Alligator mississippiensis: one gene and its partners. The protein of the gene in region 3 purifies or fractionates together with the protein of the main gene of each other region. This does not show direct contact. Links are inferred from orthologs where the notes say so. Each region holds a gene or a part of one and is shown on either strand. Other genes may lie near its edges. The genes, in order: HMGXB4, SMARCA1, C15H17orf49 and BPTF.

Region 1 (7,583 bases), on a different chromosome or scaffold from region 3:
AGCACAGACCTGAGCCAGGGTCCACCTTGAGCTCCCCGCTTGCTGCTGCAGCTGTGGGGGCAGGAGCACAGCCAGAGACCAGCCAGCATGGCCCCCTGAGGCAGAGGAAACAGGAAGGGGTTTATTCCCCACTCTGTCCCCAGGGGGCTGCAGCTGGGGTCTGCCTGCCCTGACTGCTGCTGCTGCAGCTGATCACTCAGTACGTGGGGCGAGCAGCAGGATAAGCTCCCTCCTGCCCCCTTTACCAGAAGGAGGGGGGAAATAACCCCTCTCCCTCCCCCTCACCTAAGGGAGCCATTCTGGCTGGCCTCTAGCCGCACCCCTACCCATGCAGCTAGAGCAGTGAGGGGGGAGCAACTGTGACAGGGGCAGCAGCCCCTCTCATGGGGCCCCGGGAGCAGAAGCCTCTTCCTGCCGGGGAGGCTGCATTGCAGGCAGGACTGGGGCGGTTAGAGCTGTCACAGACTGTGTGAGTGGAAGCTTCAGCTCTGCAGTTTCTGTCAAGCGTGTGCAGCTCTGGTTCCAGCTCCTGCTGCTTTCCACCCACCCACCCCCCGCAGGGCTGCTCATTGCACCAGGCTTCTGCCCAGTGCACAGAGCTCTGGCTCAGAAAGCAGAAAGCGCAACCCAGCCCACAGCTCCAGAGCATGCTGGGATGCTGGGGGGCTCTGGTTTAACTTAAACCAGGAACAAGTCTAGGAAAGAAGTTGCATAAACTGGTTTGACCCAAATCAGTTAAGTCTGATACTACATTCAACCAGGTTTATCGTAAATCAGTTTTGGCCATTTTGAAACTGGCTTATGTGCACTGAACTTATGTTCTATTACAGGTTTAAACAGGTTTCTGATCACTTAAGCCGTTTTATGTGTAACTTCTGTCCCTAGCCCTGGGGTTTAGGAACTCTCAGTTCTATGTTCTGTTGTAAACTATTTGTGTGACCTTGGGCAGGGGCCTCAATGCCAGATTTTTAAAAGTATTCACAATCATAAAGATGTACATGAGCACTTAGTGGGACTTTTCAATAGGAGACAGTCACCTAACCTCAGCTTACGTGCTCATAGATTCATAGATGTTAAGGTTAGAAGGGACCCCAATAGGTCATCGAGTCTGACCCCCTGCCCTGGGCAGGAAAGAGTGCTGGGGTCAGACGACCCCAGCTAGGTGCTTGTCCAGTCTCATATTGAAGACCCCCAAGAGAGCACCACCTCCTTTGGAAGCCCATTCCAGACCAGAAGTGCTTCTGGTCCACTTCCAGATCTGCTGCCAAGAATGCTGGGGAGAGCCCCCCCCATGCTTCTGTGAGACACTCCATGCACCCCAGCATTGCAGGACTCACGAGCCCCTGCTACCTAGAGGTACGTAGAAAAAACATTTAAAGCTGTCTCTATGTCCAAATCACCAAATCTTTTTGAATCGATTCAGAGGGTTCCGATTTGATTGAGAGAGATTAAAGGGTCCTCTGATTCGATTCGGATTCAGAGATTCAGCCACTGAATAGGGCCAAATCTCCGCCAAATCGAATCAGGGACTAAAGCTTCACACAGCCCTACTGCCCAGATCTGTATGCTAATAAAATCCCTGGATAGTCCAAAAGAAGGAAATGCTAGGTTGTTTGAATACAGGATGTAAATTCCTGTGTTCCATGCTAGCTAGCTATCTTCACAGATTGACTCTGAAAAGAGAGATTGACTGAATTTTTTTTTTAGAATAAAGGAATCAAAACTCTTGGAAGAGGTGATATCTTTTATTAGACCAACTAGATATTTGCAAACAAATCATTGTATGTATCTGCAAGCTTTCAGATGAATTTTTAGAATAATTTTTTTTTAGAATAACTTTGTTTAGAATAGTTATCTACTGATGAAAAGTGCCATATAAAAGCTAGGTATTATATTAATATTTTGCAGGGTTAGGAAGAGGTTTGGATGGATATCATCAGGGGAAGTCTGAATGATGTATAGCCTTTTAATGCTTCAATGGCTTTATGTGCAAATTTCATGCTATAGTAACTTGAACAGTAATAAATAAAATGGTTCGCTTCAAGGGAGCTGCTCCTTTCTGTATTTTTGACTGAATAAAAAACATGCACTCCCCTGCACGCCATCACAGACACAGTCTGATACCTCTGAACCGTTAGCTGATGAAATCATTAAACTTCAGGAGACCTAGAATCCTTTTTATACCAGGGAGCAGAATAGGAAACATGCTATCAAGCTACTAGATCTCTTTATAACTTCCTTGCTATCTCTAAACCCTATTCCAAATCAGCCTTCTCATTTTAAAAGCACACTGTTGCCCTCCCTGGTGATGTCACACCTGCCTCCTCCCTATTCATACTCATGCAGTCTCGACCAAGCCTGTCCAATCTGATGTCTGTGAGATGACAGTAAATATTTGTAAAACAAGTCGTATTGCCATGAGGGCTGCAATATCGGTCAGGAGTAATACTTGGTGAAACCATAAAAGCTTTGTGACAAGGCCATCTTTTCATTGTGTGGATATGGTGCCTAGCAGTGGCGTACCAATGTGGGGGGAAATGCCCCTGGGAGATGGCCTGTCAGGGGGGAAGGGGGGTGCAGGCCGGGCCCTTCACAGGGTACTTGGTCCCCTGGTGGCACTTCTGGTGAAACCAGAACTGCTGCTGGTGTTTCCAGGCTTGGAAATCACCCGCCAGGGGACCCCTCCCTCCCCCTGATTGGCAATCAGCTGCAAACAGGGTGGGCACAAATGCAGGCATTGGCCCTCGGACACTGGAGACCCACGGTATGTCACTGGTGCCTAGCAGAATGGGGCACAGACCTGTGACTCCGAGGTCCTCCTACAATACAAACAATAATCTGGCAAAGGCAAGACTGGACTAGCAACATCATGTACTGCTGAATGCCTAGCAAGTTCTAGGTGTGAAATTCAGGCACAGGAGCAGTACTGATGAAATCTTTGCTCCGGTAAGGAATGAATATGGACAACAAGGAAAAAGGCATCTCCCCTCTTTTGGCAGGGACTAGAGGAACAACAGCATTGTAGGGAGAGATCCGTATTGATGGTGGGGGCCAACCTAAGGCATGTAGATTTGTGAGAACGCGTGGAATTAATACCGTTTCAGGCCTTGATCCCACAAATGTTTCATTGGCACTGTTCTGGTAAGTAAACCATGTGCACACTTAGGGGTTGTTATGACAAGCACTGGCACTTGCTGTGTGTTTACACACTGTAGACACTGACAGTGAGGGCTCCGGTCTCCACCAATGCTTGGAAGCCATGGTTCTCAACCTTTTCAGACTCAAGGCACCCCTTGAAAAATGCCGGTTCTTAGCTTTCACTCTTGATTTGACTCTGGAAAGACAACTGAGCAATTCTTCTACTACAAAGTTCTCAGAAAGATCAAGCAGATCCAAACATTTTCAACACCGTGGATTCCTATTTGAAACCTCTGGTCTGAGCTAGCAAATCCCAGGCCCGCACCTAACAGTGCTAACAGTGTGTGGCCCCTGGGGCACCCCAAAAGGATCTCTAGGCACCCCAGGGTGTTGTGGCCCCCCGGTTGAGAATTGCTGCTTGAGGGCCCTATTACGCTGCAGCTGATGATCATTTGGAGTGATCTCTTATTGCACACACTTCATATAGTAATCATAGTAATATTTTATAACAGAATGTATTATATGTAATAATATATAACACAATAATGCAATATATAACACAATATATAATACATGATCTAACATAATAATGCACTATATAACACAATATATAACACGATGCAAGATATAACACAATATATCATATAATATATAATGTAAGGTAATATAATGGTGCAATATATAATATTATATATATGATGCAATATAATATGCAATGAAATATAATGGAATATATGAAATATCTTAACATCATTTAATATAGTATAGTATATTACATTACATTATATTGTACTGTAGTATATATTAACATATTAATTTATTGATATGTCAATATATATCACTTGCATGATCAGTATAGCATTTATCATCATGCCCAATCTATTAATATCATTAATAACATTAGTGTGTTAATCCTGTATAGATATATAAATAGATAGATAGTGCTTCATTTTAATCATGGAAAAATGTCGATTTGGGGTTCCTTTTTTTAAACTGAAAACTCGGGATTTTTTCAAATCAAAGAAAACCAGGATCCTGGAGTATCACCATACCCTGTCGCGGCGCTCTTACCCGGCACTACCCGCGTGCCCGCTTGAGGTGGCGGGGGGCGCGGGCCCTTTAAGCGCGGGGGGCTTCTGGGACTTGTAGTCCAGGCCCCGCTCATGTGACCAAGCGCGGCCGGGCTCGCCCGTCACGTGACGCCCGCTGAACCCTGGGGCAGGATGCGAGGCGAGGTAGGCGGCGGGGGGGAGGGGCCTCAGCTTGTGTTCCCCGCCCTGGGGCGAGGCGAGGCGAGGCGGTGCAGCCGGGGAGGGCAGTCCTTAGGGTTCACCCCGATGTGCGCAGCAGCGGCCGAAGAGCCTCGGCTATCGATGCGCTCGGCGCTCCGCTGCTTCTGCTTGGCCGGCGGAGCCGCGCGGCGTCTCTCCCCGCCCCCCTCCCCCCCTGCAAGATGGCGGCCGCGGGCTGTGGCGGTGGCGGTGGCGAGGCGGGAAGCGGCGGAGCGGAGTGAAGGGAAGCGGCCGCTCGGCCCCCTCCCCACCCCCTCACCCCGGGCCAGGCGGCGGGAGGACCCCAGGGCTGGCTGGAGGCGCGGGGCCGCGGGCCGGAGCGAGGCTGGAGCCCGCCAGGGTGAGAGGCCGCGCGGGGCCGCTTCAAACTGTCGAGACAGGAAAGCAAAGGGAGTGAGACGGGGATGGGCCAGGGCCAGGGCCAGGGCGGGGGGGGTCCGTGGGACACTGGCCTACTGGGTGCACACAGTTAATGTGGGCTTGAGGCCCACAGAGCAGTAGTTACCCCCTCCGCCTCCCCCCCCACACTGTTATTAGGGAGGCTGCTGGGGGGGTGTCGGCTGAACTCTATTAACGAAGGAGAAAACAGGCATGGGAAGCTCAGAGTGTCAAAATAAGTGCACCAAAGGGTGACACCCACTGGCCCTTAAACAAGTGCAGGGAGCCATTGGATACTGCCCAGTGAAACTCTGCCCAGAGACATGAATGGATGGGGGACAGGAAAGCAGCCACGCAGTCCCCAAGGGTTCAGTGGGGCACAGGCCTTTTGATGCGGGACAAAGCCCCCCTTGCTGATGGGGCATGGCACTGATTGCTTGGGACACAAAAAAATATAAAACGGGAATGGGAGTGAAAGCCATAGGTTTGAAACGAGGGCACCAAGGGGGGACATGGAGCAGAGTACACAGTACTATGCCCACCGGCCCCCAGATGGGTCTAGGGAGCCAGTGGGCACTGCCTGGTGAAACCCTGCCTGGGGACATGAGCAGGCCAGGGACAGGAAAACAGCCCTGTTGTCCCCAGGAGTCTGGGACACAGGAAACTGGGCACGGTGGACCTCTGGTCTGACCTAGCTATTGGCAACTCCTATGTTCGTATCTGGCCCTTAAGATTGTAAGCCTACTGTGGGGGAGGGGGCAGGAAGCTGTCATTGTCCTTGTTTCTTATATAGACTGTGGTATTACGTGAATTCTACCTAGGACTTGCCGTATGTGCCATTGGGGTTTCACATGTTTTCATGATGGTGTGACTTAATTTCTGTGCCCAATACTTCTTCCGAGTAGTTGGAGAACAAATCTCTTCACTTTGTGGACTGTAACAAAAACTTCCTACTTACTTGTATGTGTTTGAGGAGGGAAGGGTTTAGAACAGTCATCACCAACCAGTGGATCAAGATCCACCAGTAGATCTCGGAGCCTCTTGGAGTTGATCTGAAGCTGGGGTGGGGGGCTGAGTGCCTGTGTGCGTGCACACACGCGCCCCAGCCCAGCAGCTTAGTCCATGGGGGAGGGAAGGGACAGGGGCTAGATGGAGGCCTGTGTGGTGAGGGACAGTGCGGCAGAGGCAGGAGCAGGGGCAAATTGAGTGGGGCCCCGGCTGGGTGGGACTTACCTGCTGGGGAAGTGTGCCCCCAAATATTTTTTTCTTCCTCTGCCCCATCTGCCCCCCCCCCCCCCCTTCTCTCCCCGGACTTACCTGCTGGGCAGGGAGGGGTGGCAGCAGTGCATGATAGATCTTGGGTTGCTTTTAAATGCCAAAGGTGATCTCCTACTTAAAAAGGTTGGAGACCACTGGTTTAGAACCTGCTAAAGGCTGAACAGATATTTAATGTTTTAATATCAGCCAGTAGTTTATACAGCTTGGAAGTGTGTCCATGTATTTTAATTTATAAATATAGTTATAGAGAGAAATTTCACACAGCATGAAAAGGCAAGTTCTCTCCCCCAAAGAGTTTAAAATGTAACCCTAGTGTGGCATGATGGTTATCTCAGCTAATCAGAATATTGACTGCTCGGTTTCTTATTCATAGTTGAACATTAAAAAAAACACAATAAAATGTTGGCTAGAACAGCTTGGTTTTTTAAATGTTCTATTTCTACCAATAAGTTTGTCTCTGACTGAAGAATACAAGCTGTTTTCTCTTAGAGAATTGTAATACAGCTATTGCATAATGGTAAAATAAACAACCATCTCTTACCTGTACCAGCAACCATATATCAGCATGGCTCAACCTGGAATTCCCTCAGCAGGCAGGGGCTGGGAGTGCTGCAGAGGCCTTAGGAAAAGGGAGTGCTTTCTTCCTTTCTTTCCCCTCTCCCAGGTTGGCACTCAGAAGGGCTCCAGTGATATGGTTTGGGTTAGGGAATGCAGGTCTTTCTGAAGGGTGTACATCTTCACCCAAAAAACCTCTAGTCAATGTAACAGAACTGAAATCTGCTCATTGCATACAATCTAGCCCCCAGTTGGGTTCTTCTCTGTCTACCCAAATACAGGAGTTTAGAATTTCTCTTAAAGCAACCCACTCTTACAATAACTGCTGACAGTTAACAGTTTTGTCATCATCTCTGTTTTCAGTTTGTGTGTCATTATGAAAACCAGTGCAAGCCTTCTGACTATACCTTTTTCATTTTGTTAAAATACATGTTTTCATCAGCTTGATATTTTGAAGTGGAAGGGGGTTCTTTTTAACTCTATTATTAACACCCCCCAAATAATATAAGTTATCTAGAGCAAAGCATACCAAGCTTTAAGCATGATTATGAGCTCACAAGGAAGCACACTTTCCCCTTCCCAACTTTCTTCTAGTGAATTGCCGTGCAGTTCCATACGAGCGGTTTCCTCTTTGCCATTATGATTCTACTTAAGATTCTACATTATTTTCATTCTCTGTTTCTTAGACCTTTTTCTTTAGATGGGAACAGGGGAAGGAGCCCAGATGTGGGAACACATTCTCAGGCTCCTGCAAGACCACCAGGGCTTATGATGGCTCCAAGAAGAAAGAAGGTATGACTGCTTCATAATCTGAGAGAGTTGCCACAGCCTTTGCCGGCCTATGTAGTCAGAGTGGGAAAAGAAGCCAGTCTGCTAAACCCTAAGGCATCAGGCTGGGTTTCCACAGCGTTCCAAGCCTGTTCTGGCCTCAGGAAGTGAGAT
Region 2 (7,918 bases), on a different chromosome or scaffold from region 3:
TCTGTTTAAGTGTGGTTTCAGGGCTGAAAAAAACTATGTACTTACCTGAATTAAACATAAACAATGCTCATGGCTGTGCCGTGCTATCTTCCATTTCGGGGCCTCTTAGCTCTCATCATTTTCAAGGTTTCTAATAGCAAGTTTCAGGGAGACAGCTAGACAATTTCATGGCTGCTCCTGTCATTTCCAAGGTTTCTAGTGGCAGCCTCTGACAGCTGCTTCCCCATCAGCGTTTCTGGTACTGTGACACAGAGTACAATTAGTTCCAACGTAGACAGTTGCAGTTCATATGCAGTTAACTGGAATATAGTTATGCAGCAGATAGTGGGACTGGAAAATGCTAGGCTGTAAACAACAAATTGGATCTGGCATTGTTTTATGCACTTAAACAAATATTGCACTCCTCTAGTTCATTGCAATATACTGCAAATAGTTACACTCGTATCCCTTGTAAATTTGTCTTCATTTCCTCCCCTCTGGAGTCAGTGGTTGGTTGATGGTACCACCATTATTTATTTCTTTTTGTCTGCTTTTAGATGACTGGCTGGCTGAAATGAGCTAGGGTTATTGTTAAACTGGAGATTTAGAAAGAAGCTGGTGGGCGTAATAGTTTCCTTCTTTTCAGGCGAAATGAAGAACAACTACATGTTCAGCAATAGCTGAAACAAGAGGAACCACTACCCAAAACATGCAGGACATGTTCCTAAGCAGCTTCTTTCTGTGTGGTTGGAAGAACATTGCTGTGGGTTCAGTATAAATACCGGGGCAGTGAACTGACTTGCGAATGCCAGGTGTGTGCCTATATGTGTGCAGTCAGAGAAGGGGCAGAAACACTGCAGGAGCCACTCCAGCAGACTGGAAAGGAAACCCTGGAGAAGCCTTGCTAAGTGTGACCTCTGAGAAATCCTAGAGAAAACGTACTGGACAGAATAGTGACTGAAAGAGGCTTGGAATATGAGCAAGGAAACTATCTTTTATGTTCAGGGAAACAAGACTTCATAAATGCCTTCTTAACAGAATTGCTTCAGAGAGACCTTTTCACATCACTAATTTGTCCTAACCAAAACAATCTCCAATAATCTGAGAATGCTTTAATCACCATAGTTTAAAGAAGCATATTCACAGAAACAGTAGGATACTAGGGAAGAGATTCAAGCAAGTAGTACCTGGATGCCCCTTGTCCATATCAAATCTGTAGTGATCTCATAGCTTCACAAGAAACAGCAAACTATTTCCATAGCAGTACATCTTCCACGGAGTATTTCATAGGCTTCCTGGGGTTATACTGATTTTCACTTTTTTCCTGCAATTCTATTTGAGGTACTTCATTTTTGATCTAGTGAGCTGTTCATGGTTCAGAACCTGCATGCTTTTTCATGTCCTGTCATAGCTTGACTTCATAGCTACAGCACTTGAAGTCCTTAGCTTAGTTCAAATAGGTGTTGGGTCCAGATCAGTCAATGGAAGAGCTCCTGAATCTGGAATTTGCTTACCCCTTATTTACTGACCTTCAGGACACAATGCAAAGCATCTCTTTTCAAAGGAAATATGTGAGAGATCTTACAGGGACAGAGGGATTGATGGGTTAACAGATATTCACAGTGTTTAAGCAGTATGATGCACACAACAGTTTATGTGCACACAAGAACCTCTGTTCTATCCTTCAGTCCTGTCCCCTGCTGCCCTGTGCTTTAAAATCTAAAGTTATGTTAGACACAACAATAGAAAAGACTGAGAAGAGCCCAAGAATTCCAGGCAGGCCTCTGCTCCCACTTCTGATGCCTATGTCTGGCAGCAGATGAAAACTGAACTTCCCTTTACCCTGACTATATTAAGTCTGTTCTAATAAATACAAAGTGGATAATCCGTTATTTAAAGATTGACTCTTACTTCCCAATTTGCTGTGCAAACTCTGGGTGGCTTTCCTGTATAATCCACTGTGCTATATGCTGGCATAAATTAGTTTGCCCCTTCTTTTTGGGACTAAGAACTCTCAGGAACCAGGAAATTATTTGAAAACAACTTGTAATCACTTTTTAGCGTAACATGACTCATTCATCTGGTTATTTAAATATGCTGTTCTTTATATTCAGAATATTTCAATTATTATATGGTTGCACTTAGAATGTTTGCATTATATAGATAAGCAATAAGAAATAAGCAATCTTTTCAACAAGTGTACTAAATTAAAACAGAGCTGAAATATTCAATACCTGTACAAAAACAGCTGTAAGGTGGTCTACAAACCTAAACTAGAAGCCTTTTCCCCATCTTGTTGAAACCAAGTTGTACAACAAGCAGCTTTGATACTTTACTAGGAATCCTGTATAAAAGACCTAGGAGGAAGATCATAGCCTGACAATGCTATCTAGTGGCAAATAGCAGAAATGCTGCTCCTTGGCAGTCTTTATCAGCAATGTCTGCTAGTAAACAGCCTATTTTTGGTACAAGTTGACCCAGACCAGTGCTTGTATTTCTAGGTGCCTGTTTAGAAAGGTGTTGAATGCCCCTACCCCTACTTGTATACTTAGAAGAAAGATGCAGAACTCAGCACTACCTCAGATCTGATGTCTTAGAGCAGTGGTTTTCAACCTTTTTTTGTACCAGGACCAATTTTTAAACATTAATGGCCGGTCCTGACCCAGTGCCCCACACCCCCGAACTGCTGCCCCCGCCCCCAGGCCCCAGCTCCGCAATGTGTTGGGTAGGGGTGTGTGTGTGTGGCAGGGGGGATCCCCAAGCAGCCCCTTGGAGGCTGGAACTCTGTTACTGTACAAGGGAAAAGCCACAGTTTCCCACATTTTTCTCCTTTAAAGGAGAATCCATTTTTAAAGTTTGCTTGTGACCCTTTCATATATTCTTGTGACCCACTTTTGGGTCATGACCCATGGGTTGAAAAAGATGTCTTATAGTATATGTAGTGGAATTAGGTGCCTAACCTGGGTGCCTACATTTTGGAAAAAGATGGCTGCAACTGACTAGCCATTGTCATTTTCCTGGCTTTTAATAGTTCATTTAATGCCAGTTGGTAGAAGCCTTGAAAACGAAGGGACAGCACAGTCTTGGCATTTCAAGACTTTTAACAGCAGCCTGACAATTGTTTCCCACTTTCCCCTTTTTAGGTGCCAATTAGTATGCTGTTAAATGGAGTACAGTTACATTACCAAATAGATTGCTTATGCCACAGCACATTGGGAGTGGCATGGTGCTCTGCAGTTAATCAGATTATACATGTATTGGATATATGCGTACAAGTGAAGCACATTGTACACGCTATATACTACCAGAGGTAATATGAATAAAGACATATGCAATGCCATACATCAGTGTTCAGATTCATCCAGAGGTTCATATAGGGGACTGGGTTTTTTACCACTGCATTGCTGCTGTACAGAGACATCCCTAGTGATATGCGGGGCCTGGGCATATCAGCCTGTGCGGGGCCCGGGTAGTGGGGCAAGTGGCTGGAGCCGGCAGTGCTTGGCGGCAGCAGCGGCAGAGTCGGCAGCGCTCAAGAGTGGCGCTGCATGCCGGCTGCAGTGGGACCTCTATGCCACTGACCATGGGGCCCCCCAAAGTGCGGGGCCCAGGGTGGTTGCCCCAATTTGTCTCCACCCTAGGGACGTCTCTGTTTCTGTACCTCGACGGTGGAAGGTTTTCTCAAGCTTCATATCTAACTGCTTCTGGCAGTAGAGGTCTTGGGCAGGTCATTCCTATAAAGAAGGTTTAAGGTAAGGTGAGCTCATTCAGCTGCACCTAGATGTCAGTTTTTGAGGGAGAAGCTTGAAGGAGAACCAGTTTGTGACGGACTAAGGAAGATGGAAGGTAGTAGAGGGTAGCTGGGAAGATCAGTCCTCTGAAGGCTCAATCACATGCCTGGGATTTGCTAGGCTCAATGACCGTGCAGGCAGTGGGTATGCTAGATCGCCCTAAGGGAAGTCGTAAGGCTGAGCTCAGATTGAGCCCTGGACTGTCTGCCGTGGACCCTGCCTTTCCTAAGGTACTCAGGGGCATCTTATACGGAGGATCCAGCTTGAGCCTTTGGGATGGGAATGGGAATCCTTGTTGCCAGCTGTGAGGAAATGCGCACTATGACCTGGACACCTGTGTAGCTACTACCCGGCTCTTTCTGGCATAGCCAGCCCTCGGTCTGGGACTGCTGGAGACCTCCTGGGATAAACCTCGCCCTTTGAGGGAGGTGGATGTGCTGGCATGAGGGCAGGTGTGCACCTTTTATACAGGGGGTTGCCAATGTTTTTGGCCAAAGTGCTGAAAAAACTGCACCGTCTACCTCGCCAGAAAAACAAAACTGGGGCGGTGCATACATGGCAGGACGTGCTGCATATTAACATAATCATCATACATGGTTTTTTTTTTTATAGTAAATACCAGGGATTAAAAAAAATTCTAAACCTGGTGACAATAAATAAAACTTCATATATTGCCTTTGTATAAAACTTCATATTCTGCCTTCATCTATCTATCTATCTATCTATCTATCTATCTATCTATCTAAATAGATATATTGATATATTGATATATTAATGGGTTAACATATACATATATGAGGGCAGCTCATACAGATATGGATATCCATACATCTATAGATACAGGTCTATCTATAGACTGATCTTTATACACAACCGCAGCTCCGCTTCGCCCCCAGGTCGCAGCTCCTCCCCCACCCGCCTTTGCCCCGCCCCTCCCGGCTCCCAGCAACAGCTGGCAAACATCGGACTGACTTCAGCAGTCGCACTGCGCATGCTCCGCCTCCCCGCGCATGCTCTCGGCGAGCGGACGGACTTTTTCTGGCGCTCGTTCCCCCCGTCGCGCGTCGAAATCTCGCGATGGATGCGAGGAGCGGGAGACGGAGGGGGCGAGGGCGGGGCCGTGCGGTGTTTTGGGGGGTGGGGGGGAGGGGAAGGCGGCAGCTCAGCGCTGCGCCATGGACAGCGGCCCCGACAGCCCCGGCCGCTCGGATGACGAGGTGCCCTCCACCTCCGCCGCCGCCGCCTCCGCGCAGGAGCCCGGCGTCGAGGAGGTGCGCGGGGACCGTTCGTGGGGGCGGGTGGCGCGGGCGGGGCTACGTCACCCTCGGAGCGCGCGAGGCACCAACGGCCGCTCCCCCCCCTTCCCCCGGTGTCACCGCTGCGCGCCAAGGGCGGGGGGCGCTCCTGGAGCTGCGCGCGCAGCGCCCGGGGGCGGGCAGGCGGGCGCCCTTGACCTCTTGTGCAGGGGCCTTCCCGCGCGGGGTGTCCTGGGCCGCCCTCGGCTGGTGTCAGAGCAGCCGAGGGGGAGGCTGAGCCCCAGGGTCCCAGCCTAGCTGGGTGTCCTTGAACTTCAGCCTTTTCCTGCCAGGCGGAGCTGGAAGATGCTGAATTACCCACCCCCAGTGCCACACGCTTGGTGTGTCCAGCAAGGCCCCAGGCGGCAGGAGCACTCTCTTCCTGGCCCTCTGGGTCGTGATGCCCGGGGGCTTGGGCCTGGCTGTGCGAGCCCCGTGCCGAAAAGCACCCGGGCTGTCCTTGGCACGCGCCAATTAAAAGCTCGGAGGAGGTCCCGACTCACTGAAGCAGCGGCGGTTTTGCTCCCAGCCGTTGCCTGGGATGGAGATGCCCAACCCGCTGGTGTAAATGTGGAGCAGGCCTCTGCTGTCTAGCCCCGCGCCAGCACAAGTGGCTCGCTGCAGGGTAACGTTACCCCGCGGAGCTGAGGTTACACCTGCCAAGTGTATTTTTGGGTTTAGCGCTACTCCCTCTCCTCCCGGGGTAGCCCCAGGCTCCGCTGCTACCTGGCAGCAATGAGCTTGAATAGTCCCTACTCCAGGCACCTCCTTCTGCAGGGCTAATTTCTCTCTGCACCAGACCCTAGTATAACCATCTGTCGGTGTACAGACAGACCTGGGAAACGGGTGTAAATGCAGGTGGTATATTGACAGCCTTTGTTGTTGATGTGACTCTTTCACTGTAGGACCTACCAATTGCAGTTTCCCACTAGAACGACATCCTTCCCTCGGCCTGAGGCTAACAAGTTTGCCATCTCTGGTTTAGTAAAGATAGACAGGGAAAGTGTTGTTGATCTCTGTAATCTCTTAAGCCAGTGGGAAACAACCTTTTTGACAGACCTGCCACACATCAGTTCCACAACCACCCTGAGAGCCGCTCCGCTCCCACTCCCATTCCCCTCCCTGATCTGCTGCTCTGCTTTCTGCACCTGCCCTGTCTACTGCTGTGCTATCCCCTCCCCAGCATGGTGCGGGCCTAACGCGGAGGCTGCCTGAGCCACTTGTGCTGCAGGTTGGCTGCTCTTGCCTTAAGCTATATCATTTAAGTTATGAAACATTTGGACAAACCTATATATCATGAAATGCTTAGACTACCTGAGGACTCCCAGTATATTCTCAAGAGGCATAGCTGACAAAACGAAATGCCCCTAATGTAGAGTCAGCTGATTAAGTTCTGTGAACAAAATAATCTATGTCAGCAAAAACATCTCTGTTAGGGGTTTTTTCATGTATAGATGTGTCTAAAACCAAAATTGCATCACTTAACTGCCTTGTTATACTGACAAGTATTTCTAGCGAAGATCTGATCTAAGCAAAAAAGTATATTCTACGTAGTTGAATAAAAGTTCACGTGTAACTGACTGGTGTACAAGGAAGTATCTGTATCCCTATAATCTAGATCTGCAAATAAAATAAAAATTCATATATCTTGTAATATTACCCAGACGTAAGGATAAGTGTGAGCACACTTTAGCTGTCCACCTGCCTTTTGACTGCTGCTTTCCCTTCCTTGTTTCTGGTACAGTTGAAGGGAATACAGATGGCTATAAAGGAGACCGTTACAGCTACTATGAAATTAGCCAGAGTACAATCACAGTCAAAAGTTTAGGTAAAACATGCTATACATTTAAGCAGATCATGCACTGAACTCATATGCAGATAACCAGCAATATTTAACAAGCAATAGGCAGTGAATTGGGACTGACCTTGTGCTATTCAACTAAACAAATTTATATGCATACATAGTAAGGGGAGTATTCCCTATACCCGTGTCGGGCAGTTATTTTGGGTGGAGGGCTGCTTACTGAGTTTTGACAAGTCATTGAGGGCCGCATGACAGGCAGCCAGGGGTAGATAAATATTAATTTTCTAAATTTTTTAGGGGCCCCACGGACTGGATAGAATAGCCTGGTGGGCTGCATCTGGCCCACGGGCTGTATTTTGCCCACCCCTGCCCTATTCCATGTCTGCTATAAATGGAACTTTCAGCTCTTGTTTTGTGATTTTTTTCCTTCATGAGGCAAAGGAGCTGTTCATTAGGGGTGTGCGAAATTGGCTGTATTTGATTCAGATTAGGCCCAAATCGGGGACAGTGATTCGATTAATTGATTTGGATCACTGTCCGGATTCGATTTTGCCGAATCAGAATCTGAAGATTCGATGCTGATTCGAAGAATCGGCAATTCAGCCACAGACACAGCTTTAAATGTTTTTTTACATACCTCGAGGTACCAGGTGCGGCTTGTGAATGCTGCAGTGGTGGAGTGGATGGAGTGTCCCACAGGAGTGCAGGGGGGCCCCCCACGTGCTTGGCAGTGAATCTGGAAGTGGACCGGAAGTACTTCTAGGTCCGCTGGGGAGTGCGCTGGGGGTCCCCTGTACACCCCCCAGCTCAGTGATCAGCTGTGGGGGGGGACCTTGGGTGCCCCCCCAGACCCAGGAGGCACCAGGCGCTGAGCTGGGGGGGCGTGTGGGGGCCCGCCAGTGTGCTCCCTGGCAGACCCGAAAGTGTACTGGAAGTGCTTCTTGTTCACTTCTGGGTCTGCTGCCAATCATGCCGGGGAGCCCCCCACACTCCATGTGCCCCAGCATCTCAGCATTCACGAGCTTCCTGATACCTTGAATTATGTAGAA
Region 3 (7,750 bases):
CAGCTACAACCTGCACCCCTCCATCATTTAATTCATTTCACTGCATTTAATTTAACCAACTGCATTTTACTTTATCTAGATTTAGATAAAATCCAGGCTTCCAGGGGGTTGAGGCGGTGGGGGGGGGAGTGAGGGGCAGGAGCAGGGCCAGGGGCACTTTATTATAATCCTGTAATAAAAGATACTCCTACACCTGTCTTTACATATGGGCAGCTTTATGAAGCCTTTTCGAAGGAGAGAGGTTTTGATCCTGTTAATGTATTCGGTCAAAGGATAACTAAAAATCCTGTGTTTAAAGAGATACTGTTGCAATAAAAATGCAATTGCAAATGGTTTGCGGGTTTCAGCTACTAAAAAATTCATTTAAAAAGTCAATTAAATTAAAATTAATTAAAATATGACCAACCAAAATCAAATCATCAATGATGATGAGGATAATGATTATCATGATAACGCTAATAACAATAATAATAATAAACAAATGAACTAATGAAAAAAATACAAGCAAAGCAAACATAATTTCCAGGTACCTTAAGTATAAAATAAAATGTTCTCCAGGCTTGTCTCATCAAAAAGCAAATGTTGTTGTTTCCACTTCAGTAATAAAACAAATGTTTTAATAATAAAAACAAAAGAAGTAAATGATGTTAACAGATAATAAATAAATACATGATATATAACAGTGGGTAAATACTAGTTGATAGAGAATGAATAAATGATAAAAACAGTAAATAAATGGTAAGTAAATAATAGTAACACATACAAATAAACTATAAAAACAATAAAAAATAAATGGTAAATACAACTAAATAATAATAAAAAATAAATAACCTTTGATAAAGAATAAATAATTATAAAAATGCACAGTAAATAAATAATTGATAGATAATGATTCAGGGATCCTGGATTTCTCTGTTTAAAAATGACAAATTCTCTGATTAAAACCCCCAACATCTGTGTTTTTCCCTGACTACAATGAAAGGCCACTATATGTCCAGGTATCAGTTGAACACAGCATTTTACTGATATATTTACAATTTTAAAGCAACCTGGAAGTTCGCTGGTGCCTCAGTCACTATAATGAAATAAATTCTAAATACCGATACATTTTTAATTTGATTGGGGAGGGGTTTATCATGGAAATACAAGCTCCCCCTGCGCTCCCCTAGACGCGGGTCCACCTACAGCCCCCCCGCGTGCTTTGTGGTGCTGAGCAGCCCGGCCCCTGCTGTTGCCTCTTAACCCCCCCCAGCCCGCAGCCCTGCCAGTTGCCCCCAACTGCCAGGGCTACCCGGGCCTGCAGCCCCCTGCCCCCCCGCATGGGCTCCGCAGGCAGCCACTGCAGACTCGGGCTCCCAGCCCTGCTGCCCTCCCTGGGGTTCCCGTTGCCCAGCAGGCAGGTCCCGGCATGGCAGTGCAGAGTGGGACCGGGCAGGGAAGCTCCTTGCCACTGTGAGCCCCATCCCACTCCCCGCCAGGCCTGTGGCCACACATAGCCCTGGACCCCACACAGCCCCTGGGATGAGCAGCAGCCCCAGCCCTACCTGACTCCCTCCCTATGGGGGACTCAATCTCTGCCCCCTCCCCCCCACCGAGTTACCTGAGGGAGCTGCTCTCCAGGCTGCCACATGCATGTGTGCGCACTCACACACACTGCACCCCTGCCTGAGCTCCCTCCTTCCGCTCCCCCTAGCCCCCCGCAGGCTGCCACTGCCAGCCCACATAGGGAAACCCATTTCCCGCATTTTCTCCTTTAAAGAAGAAAAATCCTTGCGTTTCTCCTTAAAATGAGAAAAATTGTGTTTTAGCATGAATGCAAAACCTGGATCGCTGCTGATAACCAATAATGAGCAGTTTGATTAACAGGATCTTCCTGCGACTTATTGCTTGGGCTCCCTCTTTATTTGCACAGCTACAAGAAGGCTTTGAAGATGCCCAGCTGCAGGGTACCAAAAAGGAACGGAGCAGCTACCACGCACAGTTCAGGATGCGAGATCTGCTCCTGCAATCGGTCAATCTCCTGGTGCACGGATCCACGCCTTGGAGAAGCTGACAAGACCAAGACCCTGGTGAGGTACTATCATTTTCACAGCTAAACAGACTGGACTTGGCTTTGCTTTAGGCTCATTTACCAGTGATGAGTTGCAGTAAATAAAGCCTTTGTCATTCATGCATTGAATTGCTGTGTCAGTCCTTTATGCGCTGGTCCCGAACCCCATTTCCTAACAAGCCTGGAGGTGGGAGAGCCAGGGCCAGAGGTACCCTGGAGGAGGGAGTGAGCTGACCCAGCAGACCAGGGGCTGAGACAGAGAAGCAGGGTGAGTCCCTGGCTGGAGGGGGGTGGGGGGTGTTTCTCCTCCAAGGGCCCCAATCTGGGCCTGATCCTGGGAGTCCTGGTTGCAGGTGGAAGGTTGTGGGGGGAGTCCTCTGAGTGTCAGGACTGACCCCCCCCAAAATCGCACAGGCCAGCAACTGCTGCTTCCCGGCCAAGCTGCATGTGATGCTGGGCAGCTTCTCCATGCCACCACGAGGCCCCTGCCAGGTCCGGGACCAGCCGCCACCACTTCTTTATGACCCCCCTGGACCATGATCCTTTGCTTCTACCCCCCCCAGCAGCTGGGGGGTGGGGCTCTGGGTAACGGGGACCCCTTGCTGGGAGCATCCCTAGCTCCTTGGACAGGCAGGAAGGGGATGAGGGGTTACCTGGTATTGGGGGCATCTAGCACGTTGCTACCCCACGTGGGGGTTCTGAGCCACAGGGAACCTGCTCCGGGCTGGTGCCCCCCCATGTGTCTGTCCCCCACCCTGAAGGTTTTGTCCTGTGCAATGAACGGGGTAGAGCTGGGAGGGCCTGGGGGTGGGGCAGAGTGGGTCTATAGGGGGGAGTGGGGGATGGCTCTATATGGGGGGGAGATTTCATAGACATTAGGGCTGGAAGGGACCTGGGAAGATCATCAAGTCCAGCCCTCCTGCCCCAGGGCAGGAAGTCAGCTGGGGTCATAGGATCCCAGCAAGCTAAACATTGAAATTTCTCTTGAAGGTGTTCAATGAAGTGCTTGAACCACCTCCGGCAGCAGGCTGTTCCAGACCTTAGGGGCTCAGACAATAAAGAAGTTCTTCCTTATGTCCAGCCTGAAACGGTCATGGAGGAGTTTGTGACCATTCGACCTTGTCATCCCTTGGGGCGCTCTGGTGAACAGACGTTCCCCCAGATCCTGGTGGTCACCCCTGATAAACTTATAAGTGGCCACCAGATCACCCCTGAGCCTGCACTTTTCCAAGCTGAAGAGCCGCATAGCTCTCAGCCTGTTGTCGTAAGGTCTGTTTTCCTGACCTCTGATCATACGTGTGGCTCTTCTCTGCACTCTCTCAAGCTTCTCCACATCCTTTTTGAATTGTGGAGCCCAAAACTGGACGCAGTACTTCAGCTGCGGCCTCACTAGGGCCGAGTACAAGGGGAGAATGACGTCCTGGGATTTGCTTGAGAAGCATCTATGGATGCAAGCCAGCGTTTTGCTCGCTTTACCAGCAGCATCACATTGAAGGCTCATGTTCACCTTGTGGTCAGTGATGACCTCAAGTCTCTTTCACCTGTACTGCTAGCCAGTGTAGCACTGCCGAGCCTATAAGGATGCTGCAGGTTTTTCTTCCCAAGGTGGAGAACCTTGCATTTTTCGGTGTTAAACACCATCAGGTTCTTGTCCGCCCATTTCCTGAGCCTGTCCAGGTCAGCCTGGATCGCCCTCCTGTCCTCCGGCGTGGATGCTTTGCCCCAGAGTTTGGTGTCATCGGCGAACTTGGCCAGTCCGCTTCTGACTCCAATGGCCACATAGTTAATGAAAATGTTGAACAATATGGGCCCAAGAGAGCCCTGAGGGACCCCACTGGTCACAGGGCACCACGATGATTGACTTCTGCCAACCACCACCCTCTGGGTCCGACCACGGAGCCAGTGGATCACGGTGAGGCCGGGGCCACAGTCAGCCAATTTTGCCAAGAGGTGATCACGAGATGCCAGACTGAAGGCTCAAGTCAAGATATACGACATCCATCTCCTCTCCCTTGTCCAGGTGACCGGTCACCTGGTCGTAGAAGGAAATGAAATTGGTCAGGCAAGACCTACCTGCAACAAGCCCGTGTGGCTACCCCTCAGGGTGTTGCCATCCGCCGGTCTGTTAAGAATGGCCTCTTTGATAATCTTCTCTAAGACCTTCCCTGGGATGGAGGTCAGGCTGACCGGCCTGTAGTTCCCTGGATCTACTCTCCTCCCCTTCACTGCATGGGCCACCTTCCAGTCTTCCGGCACTTCGCCTGATGGGAGGGGGTGGCTTGGTGGAGGGGAGTGGCCATGGATGGGGGTAGCGGGGTGGTCCCCAGGGCTTTCCCAGGTGCATTGTGGGTAGGGGGTGGGCTCTATTGGGGGGGCTGGCTGTATATTAGGGAGGGGCTGGGGGTTTCCTCTATGGGGGGGGGGGGGGGTCCCTCAAGGGCTTCCCCAGGTGCATGGTGGGTAGATGGGTGGGCTCCATGGGAGGGGGGGTTGGCTTTATGGGTGGGGAGCAGTGGCTCTATGGGCTCCCCAAGGGCTTTTCCAGGTGCATTGTGGGTAGATGGGGGGGCATTAGAGGGCGCCGGTCTACGGCTCCAGGCGGGAGGGGTAGGAAAGAGTTAAAGCCAGCGAGTGGGTGGTCCTCCACACCGCCTAGAGCGCCCGCCATTACCGCCGAGAACCTGGAGCTCCCAATCACCATAGAGACGTAGGCGACTCCGGCGGGAGCGTCTGCAGGGACCACCGAGACGCGCTGCTAGAGCGCTTCACCCACCCCCGCACCACCAAGGCGCTGGAGGATCCGGGCGGCTAGAGCGTCCGCCAACACCACCGAGGCACCAGGTGGTCCGGGGGGGAACGGAGCGGCCGCACCATCGAGACGCCGGCGGCCGACGGGGGCCAGAGCGCCCCACTTCCGGTCGTGCCAGGGCGGCGGCCGGGGCGGCGGCTGGGGGCTATGACTTCCGCCAGCACCAAGGTGGGGTCATGGGGGGCGGGGCCAGGATGGGGTGTGGGGCCTGCAGTGGGGGAGGGGCAGCGAGTTGGGTGGGGGAGGGGCCTGGGGTCCAGGGAACCCCTAAAAGGGGTGGAGGGGGTCATAGGGGAGGGACCACTGGGGCCCCCCATGGAGGGGGAGGGGCTTTGGGGGCAGCTCGGGGGGGGCTCTACAGGGGGGCGGGGCCCAGGGTGGAGGGACCCCCCCGCCAGGGTTGAGAAGCCCGCCCCATTTGTGGGGGGGGAATTAAGAGTACCTACTACGTTGTAGGGGGGCTCAGGGGTGGGATAGGGTTGCCCCCAGGGACTGGAGCTGGGGGAGCAGCAGGGTCAGAGGTCATGGCAGGTGAGGTCAAGGGGTCAGAGCACTGCCCTCAGCCCCCCACGCCCCCCCACAGGTCGGGGAGATCTTCTCAGCCGCCGGTGCTGCCTTCACCAAGCTGGGGGAGCTCACCATGCAGCTGCACCCTGTGGCCGATTCTTCCCCCGCGGGGTAAGCCCCGCCCCCTGCCTCCCACACCCCACCACCTTCCCCCTACACCTGCCCCCCAAACACCCCCAGTTGCCCCCTAAGCCCTGCTGCAGGGGGGTTGGGTCTCGGGGGCTGCCAAGAGGGGGTTTCGGATCGGGGGGGCCACTGGGGAGCGTTTATGGGCTGGGGGCTCCGGGCTGGGGGCCCCCTGACACCCCGCGCCCCCCAGGGCCAAGTGGACAGAGAGCGAGATCGAGATGCTGCGGGCGGCCGTGACGCGCTTCGGCGACGACCTCAACCGGCTCAGCGCCGTCATCAAGGAGCGCACGGTGTAAGGGCGGGGGCGGGGGCTGGAGGGGAGCCCCACACCCCTCAACCCCCGCCCCAGCTCACCGTGGCCCCACCCTCTCGCCCCCCCAGGGCCCAAATCAAGGCTACAGCCAAGCGCAAAGCCTACGAGGACAGCGGGGTGCCGCTGCCAGCTGACTCCCCCAAAAAGGGGCCCAAGAAGGGGGGGCACAGTGGGGTGCCCCCTGCCCCTGACGCCCCCCCTGCCAAGAAGCAGAAGGCCTCAGGTGAGCTGTGAAGCCCCCCCAATCCTGGGGTCCCCCCAGGCAGGGGATTGTGACCCCCCCATTCAATCCTGGGGCTCCCCTGGGCTGTGGGAGGGGCTTGAGACCCCCCCCCATTCAACCTTGAGGTGTCCCTGAGCAGCTGGATGGAGGCTGAGACCCCCCGTTCAGTCTTGGGGTCACCCCAGGCTGCAGCAGGGGTTGAGATGCCCCATTGAATTTTGGGATCCCCCCCAGCTGAGTGAGAGGTACTGAGACCTCCTTCCCATCCTGGGGTCCCCCTGGGTTGCAAGATGGGGTTTGAAACCCCCCCCCCATTCGGTATTGGGCTCCCCCGGGCCGGAACAGGGGGCTGTGTGCAGGGGAGGAAGTGGCAGGGGTTTTCGGGGGCCCCCCACCCATGCTGCTCCCCTAGACGTGACGCTGAGCGCCCTGAACGATGCGGATGCCAGCAGCGACCTGGTTGACATCGAGGGACTCGATGCACCGCCCCCTAAAAAGCTCAACTTCGACCAGGGTAAGGAGGAGCCGGGGGGGCCGCTGGTGGGGTGCGGGGAGGCCTCAGGATCAGCCTGGATCCCCAGCAGATGGTGGGGGGGCTCCAGTAGAGGAGAGCTGGGGGGGCTGTACATGATGGGGGGCCTGGCTGCTTGGGGGTGGTCCTTTGCTCCCTGCATCCCCAGGCCCCGCCCCCTTTCACCAGGCCCCGCCCCCAGTCCTTGAGATTAACCCCCCCCTACTCTTCAGCTCCTCCCCTCTTCCTCCAGGCTCCACCCACCCCCAGGCCATATAGGTCCCAGCCTCTGCCCCAGTCCAGGCTCTGCCCCAGTCTGCATAGGCCCCACCTCTACCTTCTCAGCCCCACCCCCCTTTCCTTGAGACTTTCCCTTGGCTTTGGAGACTCCACCCTCTTGCCCTGACCCTATTTCTCCAGGCTCCACAACTTTGCTCTATGAGCCCCAGCCCCTTCAGCAGGCCCCACCCCCTTTTCAGCCTCCCTGTCCTTTCCTTCTCTAGGCCCCACCCACTCCAGTCCTGGCCCCACCCCAGTGTCTTAGTCCCAACCTCCCAGGTTTAGGCCCCACCCCCTCCTGCTTTAGGCTCTGCCTCTCCTCCCCCCCCTTTCAGCCTCTCTCTGCTCTCTCTCCTCTCCCAGACAGCCTGACCTTGGACCCTGGGCTGCTCATGACCACTGGTGACCTGCCCCTGCTGTCGCGCTGACCCTGGCCAGCCAGACCACCGGACACCACCCTGAGCTTGAGGGGGCAGGACACTGGGGGTGTCCATCCCACCCCCCAGCCCCATCACTTGTTTTGAGGGTAGGGGGCTTGGGGCGGAGTGTGACAGTGAATAAAGGGCCTTCCCCTCTACCGCCTCCTGTGTGCCTCAGTTTCCCTTCTGGGAGCTGGTGGGGAGGGACCCGGCAATGCAAGCCCAGGGGTGGCTGGGGGGGGGGGGGGTGGCAATGGGGTGGGTCAGGGAAGGGGCAAGGGCCGGCATCAGGAATAGTTGACAAGGTTTCCACATAGCAATTAAGAGTCACATGGTCTCTGGGTGGCATTTGCATAACTAATGAGTGCATTTGCAAAGCTAATGAGGGCTGAGCACAATGGCGTAGGCAGCCTGCGTCATCTGCCATTGGTGGGTTTGCCCATAGGTAAT
Region 4 (7,294 bases), on a different chromosome or scaffold from region 3:
AAATTGAATGGTAATTCTATTAAGAATTGGTCCCAAGAGAAAAGTGTAAATTTGTATAGTTTTATTTGTAGATATGTTTATTCCTATTTAAACTGTTCTTATATTGGACCTTTTTTAACAGCAAATTTTAAGTTGTCTGTCCTTGTTAGGGGCTTAAAGTATCCCTTGACTATGTCCATGCTCTGCTGAAATGTCTGATCTCTTTCACTTTTTTTTAATGCACTGTGAGCAGTGTTCCATTGTTAGAGCGGCTTAAAGCAATAAATCTTATGAAGCAGTACGTATTACACTTGTTTTCTTTATCTTAATGTTGTCCAAAATATTAGCCAAGATGTTAGTATTTATATCGATAATAAAATCTCAGTTAAAGTTCCATGGGTCTCACACTTTGTCTACTGCATCCAAAGTAAAAGCATACTTGAGTATGCTTGTTTAAATATGTGCAACAGAAACGATATTTAAATGACATTTGCATACATAAGTTAAAAGCCAACATATGCATGAAAGTTATGATATAATTTGGAAAGAAGCTTTGGCAGGACAACAAGGAAATGCGTAATTTAAGTATACTAGGAACTCCCTTCTCCAGTGGGCGTACAGCTTAGTCCAAGACTTGTTTTCCCACTACATTTTAAACCAGGGCCCCTAAAAATGTAGAAAATTAATATTTATTTGCCCCGGGTGCCTGTCATGCGGTCCTCGATGGCTTGCCAAAACTCAGTAAGCAGCTCTCCGCCCGAAATAATTGCCCGACCCCGGTTTAAACAAATTGCCAGGTAAGATTATCACCCCAGGAGGAGAAAATTCAGAAGAATCTGATGTTGGCTGAATAATAGGTCTTGATGTTAACAATTGTTAAAGTGAAGGGGGAAGTTAGGAGCAGCTAAGTGTTGATAATAGCTGGAATTGTTTGTAGACACTTGCATAACATTTTTGAGCTTTTCTTCATAACCATAAGAGAATTTTCTGATGCCATAGATTATGATGTAATCCATGCAATTCCAGCAGCAAGGGTTCCCAATATAGCCCTCGGGTGGTTGCTTTAATATAGCCCCAGTATAAGCCTATCCTATTCACTACTCTCTCTCCCTTTCTGCTTTTATCAAACCAGAAAGGAAAAATGAACATCCAGCCCAACAAACTTGTTTTGCATTAAATAATTTTCATGCTTGGTACAACAGAATTCTTTTACTAAGCAAAACAAATGTTCTTCAGCAAATCTCTGTGCTGAGAGGAAGGCCATATAACTTTGAATATGTTCTGTTTGCTAGGTGAGAATACCGCTCATCCTGGTATCTATATTTTCTTTGATAATTAGTTATTTCTAGCAAGATGCTCCAAAGTGAGGAAGTTAGGTGTAATGTGCCATAATCTCTCTGCAGTTCTAGCACGAGCAACAGAACAGAAAATAGTTTGTATCAAAGGTTCAGGCACACTTGCTTTTCTGACTTCAGTTCACCCAGTTTTTATGCCCCCTCATTTTGCTTTGCATTTCAGGTTTGACCTGGGAACAAATTTAAGACAAATCAGCTGGTTTTAGCCTCAAAACCGTAAAGGGCCCTGTTTATACTAAATGTTTGCAAGCCTAATACTGACTTTGGAGGCTATTGTTAAACACAAAGTGGATAAGTTTTGGTTCCAGGGTCTTTAATAAATAACCACTGTATTATTTTATCAAACACTAATTCTATTTGAGCAAAAGTCTAGGGTTTTTTTCCTACCTCTTAAGAAAGAACATGGAGAAAGATCAGTGGCATATGCAAGATTGAAACTCATGTCTTGGCTCCTAGTTGTATGCACACACCTCTGAAGTAGACTACATGCTTTTCTCATAGTTGAGTGCACATGCAGGCGCACACAGGACAAAAGCAGATGAGTTTGGAAGGAGTTCTAGAAGATACAGATTGCAAATGGGATGTAACATTTTGCTTGCTGCTATGGCGGTAGCTGAGTTGTACTGTGCTTAACATGGCTCTGCATGCACCCCTGGGTGCCTGCAAAGAGTACAAATTAATCTAAAAGATGAAAGAAGAAAAAAAATGGATATGGGAGTCTTTCATTTCTACACAGGACAACTTTTACAATCTTTTCTCCAATGCCGATGAAGGGTGTTTGTGCCTGAAAGCCTGCAAGTAAATAATTTTTTTGCAAAAATCTTATTGGTTTAATAAAAGATCATCTCTACTACCAGTCCTCATTGGATACAGGAGTGCGACTTGAGTGCCCTCATTGAAGAGCTGCTGCATGCTTGGTGCTGTGCAGATTTCTCTCCCTAACTACTCTCGGATTTAGCAACATTAAAAAGGCACATTTTAAAAAGAGATTAAAAGACGAGCAAAAATAAGAATGGGAGGCTAGCTAAGCACTGCTGATATATCTGTAACAACTGTGGAGCAAGGATAGATGCCCAGGCTGTGCAGTAACTGCATGGAGGTGTTCAGCCTGTCCAGAAGGAGAGTGGCCTAGCTTTGATGCTACAACTGGATGTTGGACTTTAATAAATTGTTCAGCCCCCCCCAGAAGGAGAGTGACCTAGGTCTGCTTGATGCTACATCTGGCTGTTGCACTTTAATGAAGTGTTGTTCACTCTGTCCAGAAGGAGAGAGTGGCCTAGGTCTGCTTGATGCTGCAGCTGGATGTTGCACTTTAATGAATTGCTGTTCAACCTGTTCAAAAGAGGAGAGTGACCTAGGTCTGATGCTGCAGCTGGACACTGCACTGTAATGGGGAGGTGTTCAGCCTGTCACAAGGAGAGTGACCGAGGTCCGATGCTACAGCTGGATGTTGGACTTTAATAAATTGTTCAGCTTGTCCAAAAGTAGAGAGTGACCTAGGTCTGATACTACAGCTGGATGTTGCACTTTAATAAAGTGTTTAGCCTGTCCAAAAGGAGTGGCCTAGGTCCGTCTGATGCTGCAGCTGGATCTTCCACTTAAAAGTGCTGTTCAACCTGTCCAAAAGGAGAGTGACCTGGGTCTGATGCAACAGCTGGATGTTGCATTTTAATAAAGTGCTGCTCAGCCTGTCCAAAAGGAGAGTGATCTAGGTCTGACACTGCCACTGGATGTTGCACTTAAAATGCTGTTCAACCTGTCCAAAAGGAGAGTGGCCTAGGTCTGATGCTGCAGCTGGATGTTGGAGTTTAATAAATTGAGTGACCTGGGTCTGATGCTACAGCTGGATGTTGCATTTTAATAAAGCGGTGCTCAGCCTGTCCAGAGGGAAAGTGGCCTAGGTCTGTCTGATGCTACAGCTGGATGTTGCATTTTAATAAAGCAGTGCTCAGCCTATCCAGAGGGAAAGTGGCCTAGGTCTGTCTGATGCTACAGCTGGATGTTGCATTTTAATAAAGCGGTGCTCAGCCTGTCCAGAGGGAAAGTGGCCTAGGTCTGTCTGATGCTACAGCTGGATGTTGCACTTTAATGAATTGCTGTTCAACCTGTTCAAAAGAGGAGAGTGACCTAGGTCTGATGCTGCAGCTGGACACTGCACTGTAATGGGGAGGTGTTCAGCCTGTCCAGGAGAGTGGCCCAGTCTGATGCTGCAGCTGGATGTTGGAGTTTAATAAATGGAGTGACCTGGGTCTGATGCAACAGCTGGATGTTGCATTTTAATAAAGTGCTGCTCAGCCTGTCCAAAGGGAGCGTGGCCTAGGTCTGTGTGATGCTACAGCTGGATAAAGTGCTGTTCAACCTTTCCAAAAGGAGCGTGGCCTAGGTCTGATGCTGCAGCTGGATGTTGCATTTTAATAAAGTGGTGCTCGCCCGTCCAGAAGGAGCGTGGCCTAGGTCTGTGTGACGCTACAGCTGGATGTTGCACTTGAAGGAAGTGCTGTTCAACCTGTTCAAAAGGGGAGAGCGGCCTAGGTCTGCTGCTGTAGCTGGACAGTGCCCTGCAATGGGGAGGTGTGCAGCGTGCCCAGAAGGGGAGAGTGGCCCGGTCTGATGCTGCAGCTGGATGTTGCACTTTAATAAAGTGTCCAGAAGGAGAGAGTGGCCCAGGTCTGCCGGATGCTGCAGCTGGATGTCGCCCTTCAATGACCCGGCGCCGCTCGCAGCAGCAGCAGAGACCCCCTCGCCCCCCCGCGCGCGCGGGGCAGCCGCCCCTTCCCCGCTGCCCCAGGGCCCAGGTGAGCGCGGGGGGCGGCGCTGTGTCCGGGCCCGCGCGGCGGCGGCGCCCCCTGGCGGCGCGGGGCGGGGCGGGCGGGCGGCGGCGGTCACGTGGGGCGCTCGGGGCCTGCTGCCGCCCAGTCAGAGCGGAGCGAGCCGAGGCAGAGACGAAGGAACAAGATGGCGGCCGGCGGCGATCCGGAGCGGGGCGCCGGCGATTCGGATTGAGCCCGTGCGGCCCGCGCCGCCCGGCGGCCGCCGCTCTCCCCGGCCCGCAGCCCTCGCGGGGGTGGGGGCCACTGCCCCGCGCCCGCCCGCCGGGGCGCCCGCCGCCCCGCCCCGCCCTTGCCTCGCCTTCCCTTCCCCCCTCGGCCAGCGCCCAGCGATGCGGGGCCGGCGCGGCAGGCCGCCCAAGCAGCAGCAGGCTCAGGCGAGCTCCCCGGCTCCGGCCGGCCCCATCGGCGGGCTGCGCTCGCGGCAGCGCGGCAGCAGCCGGGGCCGGTGGGCGGCCGCGGCCCAGGCGGAGGCGGCGGCGGCGGCGCCCAGGCCGAGGGGGGCGGCCCAGGCCTCTCCGTGCCCCCGCGGGGGCAGCAAGAGGAAGGCGGGCGGCGGCGCAGGCGGCGGCGGCCCCCCGAGCCGGGGCAGGGGCAGGGCGGCGGCGCAGGCGGCGGCGGGAGGAGGAGGAGGAGGCGGCGGCGGAGGAGGCCGGGCTGCCTCGTCCCGCAGGAGCGCCAGCAAAGTGGTGTACGATGACCACGAGAGCGAGGAGGAGGAGGAGGAGAGCGCGGGGTCCGAGGAGGACGAGGAGGAGGGCGACCCCGAGGAGCACCCGGGGTCCGAGGACGACGGCGACGAGGAGGAGATCATGGAGGAGGACGAGGACGAGGACGACGACGACTCCGACTACCCTGAGGAGATGGAGGACGAGGACGATGCCAGCTACTGCACCGAGAGCAGCTTCAGGAGCCACAGCACCTACAGCAGCACCCCAGGTAGCGGGGACGGGGACGAGGGAGGGTCCCGCTCCTCGCCGCCCGCCGGGGGGGGGGAGACATGCAAATCGCGGGGGCTGGAGGCAGGGCACAGGTGCGGGCGGAGCATCCTCTCCCGGCTCCGGCCCCTTCGCTCCCCTCCATCCCCTGCCCAAGTATTGTCCAAGATGGAGGTTGCCTCGCCGCACTTTGGGGAGGGGGCCCCTGCGCGAAACTCGCCCCCTAACTTCCCCAGGTGAGGCCGCCGCAAAGCCGGGACCAGGCTTGTAAAAGCGCGGCGTGTTTGTGGGAGCCTCTTCCACTACTTGGACATGACAATGCTTTCATTAAAAAAATTAGGGTTTTTTTTTTTTTATAACCCTCAGAGCTTTTTTTGGGTGCTTGGAGTTGCTACTGCTTTCATTTAAAACATGAGGGTTTTGTTTTGTTTTTTTACCCCTGCTGCGGACCTCGATAAGACCCTCGCGTGCTTGAAACTTGAACTCTCGCTCGATTGGGTTTTGTCAGTTGAGGGGGTTTCGGTTCGCAGCTCTAGCTCGCAGCACTTGGGTTCAGCGCCGATCCAGCTGTGCGTTTTAGTGAGCCGGTTGGGACACGGGCAGCAGAAACGGGTACGGTAGCATTCGACCAATTTGCCAGCGAGGTGTAGTGGGGAGATTGGCCGCTTCTGTGAATGTATGACACCGTATACGCTTTGTGGAGCGTTTGGGGAAGGAGGCACAGGTTACTAAAACGCACTGTTTGTTTTAATTCCTGGTGGGTTTAGTGGGTGCAGGCAACAGATGCCATCACGTGGCTTCACTAAACTTATAAAAAAAAAAAACACCACCAATCAATTTTTATTTTTAATTCTGTGTAGTTTTGTACGAATTATGGTTTTGCTTTTTGGTGTGTTTTTTTTTTATTGTGAATTGGGTAAAAAATGTGATCACAAAGGGTTTATAGTCTGTTGCAGGAAGCATTGTAGTTCACCTGTTGCAGGAATAGTACTGTGATCAGTTTGATTTCCTTCCCGTAGTTCTTGCTTTAAAGAGGAACTGGCGTCAAGTTAGATGCCACTACCGCTGTAAGCTGCTCTTTTCTTTAGTTATGGTAGGTAATAGGGAGAAACCAATCTCTTCTCTTTGGTCTAGGGAAGTATTTTTGCCCTGACTTCACTGGCTAGGGTTAGGGGAAAAAACCGCATGGACCTAAGAAAATATGAAGTTTAGGGATTGGGATGGGGAGAAGTGCTTGAGTTAGGTGGGTTAGGTGTTTTGACAAAGGACAAGTATTTATTCAAGTTACGTTGGTGGCATTTAAGTGCCTATGTTAAATTAGTATGTTTGATAAAAACTCCTATAAATATGTTTTTATTTAATCATGTTAAAATTTCAGTTACCATGTTAACCTTTAGTAATCTGAAATTTTTACAGCCTGAGCAGCCCTTTATAACAGAGTGGCCAAGCAGTGGCAAGAACTTCTGTCTGTCTTGTAACTTGTCTGCTATTAGTTCAGCTGCATGCTGGAAGGCTTTTTGTTAAGTTACTTTAACAGTTGTTTCTTTCTTTTTTCTTTAAAAAAAAAAAAATTAAAAAAAAAATCGTTACCTTCAGAAAAGAGGCAAGTGAAGAAAATGTCTTTTGCAAATGACACTACAAATTTTCAGCTTGGTTAGCTACAAGTGTGTCCAGTTCCTGCTAAACAGATACCTACCTGTGTCACAAGCAGTACTGCTTCGAGATGGCAGATTGGTTTTATCCAAATCCTGAAAATAATTTTGGTGTGGCATGTGAGCCATCTCCACCTTGTAGGTTGGGTTTCCTATTTGCAGTTGAAGCACTTTGCCAGAATAGTGGTGAGAAAAATGAGTGTTGCTAACCTGTGCCTTGCAGACCAAGTGTGTAGAACAAACCCTTCTCACTAGCCAAATCTGGATACTTAAAATCACATCCCACTTATGTGGCTGTTAGAACACTTGCTACGCAAATTATTGTCTCTGTAGGAAATTAAAAAAACCCCCAATAACTCAGAAATATCAATTTAGTTTTGATGTAAAGCTTGACAATTAGTAGATTCATTTACTGTAGGAACAACTGCTATGGTGTTATTTGCTCCTAAGCAACTATCCATCTTCTGCTGAGGGGCCTGCATATGAATCGGATGATAGAGGGTCTTCCTGTAGTTCAGCATATCTGCTCCAGTTCTTACACG

Evidence for each region.
Region 1: the proteins of C15H17orf49 (region 3) and HMGXB4 purify together in Homo sapiens (affinity purification with mass spectrometry; 4 studies listed by BioGRID and IntAct, with this or other methods). This does not show direct contact. The link is inferred for Alligator mississippiensis from reciprocal best matches to the Homo sapiens genes BACC1 and HMGXB4.
Region 2: the proteins of C15H17orf49 (region 3) and SMARCA1 purify together in Homo sapiens (affinity purification with mass spectrometry; 4 studies listed by BioGRID and IntAct, with this or other methods). This does not show direct contact. The link is inferred for Alligator mississippiensis from reciprocal best matches to the Homo sapiens genes BACC1 and SMARCA1.
Region 4: the proteins of C15H17orf49 (region 3) and BPTF purify together in Homo sapiens (affinity purification with mass spectrometry; 5 studies listed by BioGRID and IntAct, with this or other methods). This does not show direct contact. The link is inferred for Alligator mississippiensis from reciprocal best matches to the Homo sapiens genes BACC1 and BPTF.

Annotation. Positions count from the first base shown.
Region 1 is NC_081827.1:101,691,199-101,698,781, reverse strand, and holds the start of HMGXB4 (HMG domain-containing protein 4), read left to right. Parts: upstream 1-4,570; 5' UTR 4,571-4,770; intron 4,771-7,531; exon of another isoform or gene 7,532-7,583. UniProt on the Homo sapiens protein: Negatively regulates Wnt/beta-catenin signaling during development.
Region 2 is NC_081831.1:68,936,979-68,944,896, forward strand, and holds the start of SMARCA1 (probable global transcription activator SNF2L1), read left to right. Parts: upstream 1-4,903; 5' UTR 4,904-4,945; coding exon 4,946-5,041; intron 5,042-7,918.
Region 3 is NC_081838.1:23,752,744-23,760,493, forward strand, and holds C15H17orf49 (chromatin complexes subunit BAP18), read left to right. Parts: upstream 1-4,743; 5' UTR 4,744-5,006; coding exon 5,007-5,027; intron 5,028-5,442; coding exon 5,443-5,537; intron 5,538-5,745; coding exon 5,746-5,847; intron 5,848-5,936; coding exon 5,937-6,091; intron 6,092-6,503; coding exon 6,504-6,605; intron 6,606-7,244; coding exon 7,245-7,309; 3' UTR 7,310-7,458; downstream 7,459-7,750. UniProt on the Homo sapiens protein: Component of chromatin complexes such as the MLL1/MLL and NURF complexes.
Region 4 is NC_081831.1:6,195,259-6,202,552, forward strand, and holds the start of BPTF (nucleosome-remodeling factor subunit BPTF), read left to right. Parts: upstream 1-4,281; 5' UTR 4,282-4,494; coding exon 4,495-5,101; intron 5,102-7,294. UniProt on the Homo sapiens protein: Regulatory subunit of the ATP-dependent NURF-1 and NURF-5 ISWI chromatin remodeling complexes, which form ordered nucleosome arrays on chromatin and facilitate access to DNA during DNA-templated processes such as DNA replication, transcription, and repair.